2 linked regions of the Mus musculus genome follow. The protein of the gene in region 1 purifies or fractionates together with the protein of each later gene. This does not show direct contact. Links are inferred from orthologs where the notes say so. Each region holds a gene or a part of one and is shown in the gene's direction. Other genes may lie near its edges.

Evidence for each region.
Region 2: the proteins of Sertad4 (region 1) and Ppp2r2c purify together in Homo sapiens (affinity purification with mass spectrometry; 3 studies listed by BioGRID and IntAct, counting the BioPlex papers as one, with this or other methods). This does not show direct contact. The link is inferred for Mus musculus from reciprocal best matches to the Homo sapiens genes SERTAD4 and PPP2R2C.

What each region holds. Positions count from the first base shown.
Region 1 is NC_000067.6:192,849,036-192,852,858, reverse strand, and holds part of Sertad4 (SERTA domain-containing protein 4), read left to right. Parts: intron 1-1,111; exon of another isoform or gene 1,112-1,166; intron 1,167-1,715; coding exon of another isoform or gene 1,716-1,732; coding exon 1,733-1,907; intron 1,908-2,992; coding exon 2,993-3,108; intron 3,109-3,823.
Region 2 is NC_000071.6:36,923,832-36,927,654, forward strand, and holds part of Ppp2r2c (serine/threonine-protein phosphatase 2A 55 kDa regulatory subunit B gamma isoform), read left to right. Parts: intron 1-2,453; coding exon 2,454-2,619; intron 2,620-3,699; coding exon 3,700-3,812; intron 3,813-3,823. UniProt on the Homo sapiens protein: The B regulatory subunit might modulate substrate selectivity and catalytic activity, and might also direct the localization of the catalytic enzyme to a particular subcellular compartment.

The sequences.
Region 1 (3,823 bases):
ACGGAGGTGTGAGTCCCCTGGGCCAACACAGGTTCCTTCTCAGGGAGACTAGGGAGCCAGATCACATACATACACATACACATGCACACACATCCACAGGCTCACAGCATGCACACACACATGCACAGACAAACAGCATGCACAGACTCACGGCATGCACACACACACACACACACACACACACACACACACACACATCCTTTTTCCCTAAGCCATTTCTGACATCTCTTTGGAGAGAAAAATGGATATGCAGTCTCCAAGGACCAAGTCAGCTATGTCCTGATTCTATCCACACATTGGCGACCCTGCCCTGTCTCTGTCCTCTGCAGGGCTTCAGCTGAATCCCAGAACACAGCCACCTGGTGAAAGACAGTCAGCTGTCAGTGGCTGCTCTGGTAGCCAGAGGATCTTGCCACCTTATTGAAGCTACATTCCTCCCTTTCCCCTGGGTGTGCACTGATGTCCTAACATGTAGGGAACAGTACTCTCCATGAGACAGTGATAAGCTTATCCTTGCCCTAGCCAGAAGGCAAAAGAATGAACTGGGCCCTTGCTATAGCACAAGGAAAATCCATCTTGAGCAAGCAAGCCAGATAGCATTTCATTGACAGGTTCTTAAAACACAAATGGGTCTTGTGGGTCTGGATGTCCTACAGAAACCAGGAACCAGAGGTGCCAGCCAGGTCTTCACTCTGGCCTGTGGCCCCAGGATTTTCCTGCTGTCCTACCTGGCTCTTATCTACCTGAAACATACTCTTGACAATATCTTGAGGGCCAACATATCCCCATAGCCTGGATTTGACAGGATCAGGGTCTGGGTGCATCACGAGTGGCAGAGGCTAGGCTGCTCCCTGCAGTCCTGAGGTCAGGGCTGGGAACCAGAGAGGGCTGTGTTGACTCTTGGAAAGTTCCTGCCATGCATCTGGCTTTGCAGTTTAAAGAGTTGCTGGCTGTGTCTGCCCGGAGCCCTGGCTCCTGTTTAATATTCTGCTGCTTGGTTGATGTTGTGCTTGGCTCCTGTGGGACTGCAACTCACGGCTGGAAACTGGAGCCAATTTTCTGTCTTCATCTCGCAGTGTTTTGACTGGAGGCAGATCCAGTTCAGGCCGATCAGGGCTGTGGAAACAACTACCGAGTGTCTGTCAGCCTCACCCTGGGAGGAGAGAGTAGGGGAAGATCCTGAGTGTAGAGGAGGAACTGGGAAGAGAGGAGAAAGCTGGGGAAGAGACTTAAACTCACCAAGTGTTGGGAGGACCCTAGGGACTTCCACCCCCTCCCCCAATTGATTAGCAGATCTCATCAAAGGGGTCTCCTAGGGGCTTGAATAGAAAATTGATTTCACCTTATTAGTAGAAGGGAGGCTGAGGGTTCTGGCCCTTCCTCTTAGGGGTACATTTTAAAGGTCGGGAGAAAACTGTATTTGGGAGGCAGAGCAGCTGTCTGAGAGAGGCTGAGGGGATCTGAGAACAATAAGGAGAGTGGGCTCTAAAGATCCGCCCTGAAATGCAGAGCTGCTGATCTCAGTGGCTAAGCTAACAGCATCAAGAGCTTGCTAAGGTTTCCTTGGAAAAATAATCAGATGGTTGGGGGATGGGGGGTGGGGAGGAAGTAAAAGTTTCTTCAAGCACAGGAAGATGCTGAGACCATCCTCAGGCTGGCTCCTAATCAGAGCTCTTTATCTATCCCCCCTCCCCCTCCCCTCTTTTCCACCCCAGATCTAAGGCTGTTAGAGATGACGCTGGTTCTGTCCATGAATAGATTCTGCGAGCCCATTGTCTCAGAAGGAGCTGCTGAGATTGCCGGGTACCAAACACTATGGGAGGCTGACAGCTACGGAGGTGCGAGCCCCCCAGGGCCAGCTCCAGTTCCTTCTCAGGGAGACCGGGGAGCCAGCTCACACCTGGCAGGTATGGCCTTTGGCCTTCTCCTTAGGAGGCAGTGTCTAGTCGGACCCTGGGGCTGGGCTCCTTGGGAAAGCCTGTGGTTACCACTGTGGATGTCCGGGAACAGCATTTTTAAAGGGACTGAAGTAGATAGCAAAAGTTTGGATTCCAGCTTTCAGACCCGTTGGAGCGAATGGTCCTCAGGGATGTACAAACGGTCACCGACTCCACAGCAAGACCTCTATCACCCCACAGTTCATAAAGGAATCTGCCATAGCTTCAAGCTGCCTCTCTTTGTGGACCACCCGATTGATGAGAAAATAGAATATGTTCTTCTAGACATTAATTCTGATAGTCTCAAATAAGTTCTTCTGTGTTCTTATTCAGTGATCGGTCTGTGGGTCTTCTTTCTTTCTTCCTCTCTCTCTTTCTCTTCCTTCCTTTCCTTCTTTCTTTCTTTCTTTCTTTCTTTTTTTCTTTCTTTCTTTCTTTCTCTCTTTCTTTCTAAGAAACTGAAATATAAGCTTCATGAAAATCTGGTTCCTGAGAAGGTTTTTAAGTCTTCAAAGGGGACCTTTGCTTTATTCATGGTTGACATGTTAACATTTCCAGAGTGGAACATAATTTACTTGCTCCAAACTCTAAACTTTAATATTTAACTTTGTATTTTAAGAGAAAAAATGTTATAACTCCCATGTATAGGTGTGTGGGTTTTTTTTTCTAACTCTAAAGTGATTCGTACCATGGTTCTGCCGCCTGTGAGAAGAGTCTAAGTAAGTGAAGTGCTGGCATTACTTCAGATAGGTCACACCCCTTCCTCCTGTGGATTCTGCTGTTGCCCTATGCACAGAGTTGAGATTCCAGGCACTTAGTAAATGAAGAAAGGTGGGTGACATTTTCCTCTAACCCTGCCTGGAAATCTTTACCTTCCCAGGTTCATAGGACTCTGTCCAATAGCAACTATGAAGACAGGTTTGTCTTTGTGTCACTGAGTGTACAGACAGGGATGTAGCCAAGTTTTCCACTAGAGGGAAAGGAAATGAAAGTATTTTGCTTTGAGAATCTCTGGCAGGCCTTATGTCATTTGTCTGTCTGATTTATTACCACAGGATCACATTACAGGGGAATTCCAAATCCTATAAGCACACCCAAGGTCACATACTTCAAGAGGAAGTATGCAGAAGACGAGGATCTTCACCCACCACTCAGCAGCTGCAGCCATAAAGTACGTTTTAAATAGTAGTTACTTCATTAACAGTTACGATACTTCATAGCACACACTTGAACCATTTCCAGACATTAAATGTTCCACCCAAGCAATAGAAGAGAGCCATTTCTCTGTGGAGCCACGTGAATCGCTGTCATATGTAGGGGGTGGGGCCCTGCACTGGATAGTTTTATGTCAATTCATCACAAGCTAAAGTCTTCTGAGAGGAGGGAACTTCAATCGAGAAGATGCCTCCATAAGATCAGGCTGTAAGCAAGCCTCTAAGGCATTTTCTTAATTAGTGATTAATGGGGGATGACACAGCACACTGTGGGTGGTGACACCCATAGGCATGTGGTCCTGGGTTCTATAAGAAAGCAGGCTGAACAAGCCACGATGAGCAAGCCAGTAAGCAGCATCCATCCAGGGCTTCTGCATCAGCTCCTGCCTCCAGGTTCCTGCTCTGTTTGAGCTCCTGTCCTGACTTCCTCCAATGGTGAACAGTGCTGTGGCAGTGTAAGCCTAACAAACTCTTTCCCTCCCCAGCTTGCTTTTTGGCTGTGGTGCTTCCTCACAGCACTAGAAACCCTAACTAGGACAGAGGCTGTGTTCCTTCTCACACTCCTTGAAGAAAGAACCAGAAAGAGATTCTCTCCCCAGATATAATATTACGTAAGGAAACACATCCTTTTGCCTGTGGTTTAATATTCCCAGGTTGAGGGATAGGGCTGCT
Region 2 (3,823 bases), on another chromosome or scaffold:
ACCACTTTATGCAGACCCTGTGCTGAGCATTCTCCTTCCACACAGTTTCCTTGTTTTCTCTTTTTGTTGGTCCCTGAGGGTACAGATGCACACCCACTTACAGACAGATCAATCAGCAGCAAGCCCCGTGGGAACCTGCTGGGTTCTTGGCTGTGTTCTGTCACCCTAGCAGGGGGGCCTCTCAATCACTGAATGTGTTGGGGGATGAGGAACCAGGGAAGGGAGAGGCTCAAGGGAGGCAGGGTCAGGCGAGGAGCTGAAGCCTCCTTCACCCCTCCAGGGTGAGGTCCCCTTGCTGCCTTAGCTCATACGGACCCCTCATCCCCACCCCACCACACAGAGAGCTGCTGTTACCCTTCATCTGACAGCTGAAGAACTGCAGCATAGAGGGCTTAAAATAGCTCGCCAAGGGCAGGCCAGGGACAGCCTGGTGCACACAGGTGTCACAAAACCAAACTGTCCCACCAGGGCACACCAGAGTCAGCCATCATTCTGCCCACTGCAGAGAGAAAGGAGCTCAGAGGTCCTGGCTTTTCTCCATTAGTCTGTCTCTCCCTCTCTTCCTGCTGACCTTTTTCACGACTAGGGCTCATGGGAAGAGGAGGCGAAAACGTGGAAGGATTTTCAAATAGATCCTAACTCAAGACAGAGACGGGGACCTAAAAATAGGCACTTTCAAAACGAGCAGAAAACCCGAAGCTGTGCTTGGCTGGGCCATCTTCACTCGTTCCCAGCTGTGATCTTGTGTTGTCATAGAAACTTGACTTGTCTGCTAGAAAAGTGGTCCCAGTATTTATGGCAGGTTCAGCACTCAGCTTTTGGAGGTCTCCACCAAGAGGGGGTACATAGGAACTCTGCTACCCAAACTGGGGTGGGAGCCACCGTGAGAAGCAGGGTTAAGACCTGACTAATGAGGATGGATAGAGGCTCAGCATTGGCATCTGACCTCAGCGGGGTGAATGGTGGCCACTTTGTGGAAACATGGGGAGACCCATGGTCTCACAAGTATGAGGACCTAAATTTAGTTCCCCAGAACCCACATGAAAATACGAGTGCCTGTGATCCCACTTTTGGGGAGGGTGGGGACAGGAAGATCTCCAAGGCTTGCTAGCCTAACTGGTGAGATCCAGGACAATGAGAGGCCCTGCCTCAAAGAGGGTGGGCAGTGTTTCTGAGGATGATACTAAGCTTGTCCCTTGTCCCTTGTGTGTGCATGTTCACACACATGTTTGCACACCTGCATATACACCTGCAAACCCTCGTCCACACACACAAATCTCTGGGCACACATCTGCATACCCTTTGTATACAATGCATACACTTTAGCACATATCCACATACACCCTGTATATACACACCTATGTACAAAAATACCCAGGTACACATGCATACACACCTGCACACATTTATATCCCTGTATACATACAAACTTGCACAAACACACACACACCTATACAAAACTGTGCACACACCTCTCTGTGCACATGCACACACACACACACACACACACACACACACATACACACTTCCCAATCTCCCACCTTCTGCTTGCATACATATACCCCCTGCATGTACCCATACCCTCCCTGTACCATACTGTCTTAGTCAGGGTTTCTATTCCTGCACAAACATCAGGACCAAGAAGCAAGTTGGGGAGGAAAGAGTTTATTTGGCTTACACTTCCATACTGTTGTTCATCACCAAGGAAATCAGGACTGGAACTCAAGCAGGTCAGAAAGCAGGAGCTGATGCAGAGGCCATGGAGGGATGTTCTTTACTGCCTTGCTTCCCCTGGCTTGCTCAGCCTGCTCTCTTATAGAACCAAGATTACCAGCCCAGAGATGGTCCCACCTACAAGAGGCCTTTCCCCCTTGATCACTAATTGAGAAATGCCTTACAGCTGGATCTCATGGAGGCATTTCCTCAACTGAAGCTCCTTTCTCTGTGATAACTCCAGCTGTGTCAAGTTGACACAAAACTAGCCAGTACACATACCTACACACACACACACACACACACACACACACACACACACTTTGATACCCACTACTTGCACACACATACCCCTGCATATACCCACACTCTCTCTGTGTACATGCCTACACACACACCTGTGGAACATACACACTTGCACACACATACCTGCACATACCTCTACACACACATACACACACACACACACACACACACACACACACTTTCCAATCTCCCACCTTCTGCTTGCATACATATACCCCCTGCATGTACCCACACCCTCCCTGTACCATACCTACACACACATACACATACACACACACACACATCCCTGTACACACATGTACACGGTATCAGTAGTTTCCTTTGCTGATGCTGATGGTACACATATTGCAACACGTGTTCAGCCCCTTCTCACGCCTGCCTCCCTCTTCCATGGGCACTCCTTCGGCTCAGTCTGCCTTTGGGTTTCCCTGCAGAGTAAGAACGCACCTCACAGCCAGGGTGAGTACGATGTATACAGCACCTTCCAGAGCCACGAGCCGGAGTTTGACTACCTGAAGAGCCTGGAGATAGAGGAGAAAATCAACAAGATCAAATGGCTCCCGCAGCAGAACGCCGCGCACTCGCTGCTGTCCACCAATGGTGAGGCCCCGCGGGTGTGGCTGTCCTGACTCACTCAGCCTTCCAGGTTTCTCTGTGGTTTTAGTGACAACCAGGCCACCCTTCAGCTTTCCCTGACTGGTCACAAATCTCCCACCCTTGTAGATATAATGGGCATGGAGGGCTCCAAGGTGGAGACGAGATTGAATACTTCAAACACCAAGGACACCAGCTTTACTGCTCATTTCTACCCTGTCCTCACAGAAGGCTGCACCCCTATTGAGGGCCCCATTTGAAAGCAGTTTTCCCTCTAGCTTCTTCCCATGTTCACAGCGTTGTTGGTTTTGACTGCGGATGTTATCGGGGATCCTCTGGGGAAGCCAGGTGTGTGGGGGAGAGACCAAGAGAGGAGAGAGGGGGAGGTGGAGATGGAGAGGACCTGTGATTCTGACCCCTGCGATTGTGAGGCCAGAAGCTCACAGCTCAAGCCTGGAGGGCGTGTGCTGGCAGAATCCCCTCCTCCCAAGGAGGTAGGCTTTCATTCTGTCAGCGCCTTCAGCCAATGATATGAGGTCTACCATCTCCTGATGGCAGGTTATCTGCTTATGGATTTAAATTTTAATTAATTCTAAAGGATCCTTCATAAAAGAGCCAGTGTGTTCTGAACAATGTCTGTGTCACAGCCAAGGTGAGCCATAAAATTATCGCCACTGATTCTTCCTCCTGTGACGTCCAAGGAAGGAGTACGGGGGAGAGGCTCCGGGAGCTGGCTTCTGGGTGGCAAGTACCACTGAATTAGGAATGGCAGAGTGGCCACCTTCTTCTCAGGAAGGGACAGTGGTACATGCTCAGTGTAGAGGTCAGTAGTGACCCTTGCAAGGGGCATGCTTTTTGACCTAGTAACATCCCCTGCCAGTGAGTAGAAGATGCAGCAGAAACAGATTGCCCATATTCAGAGGTATTCTACACAAGGCACAGTGAGGGGGGAGAGGGACATGGATGGTCATTTCCAGGGTGGTGGCCCCAGGACACACATCACTGTCCCTCTAGCTAGAGTGGGTATTCTCTTCCTGGCCTGGCTGTTGACAGAATACCTTGTTCTTCCCTGATCTGTCCTTAAAGATAAAACTATCAAATTATGGAAGATTACCGAACGAGACAAGAGGCCCGAGGGCTACAACCTGAAGGATGAGGAGGGAAAGCTGAAGGACCTGTCCACGGTGACGTCACTGCAGGTGAGCTTCGT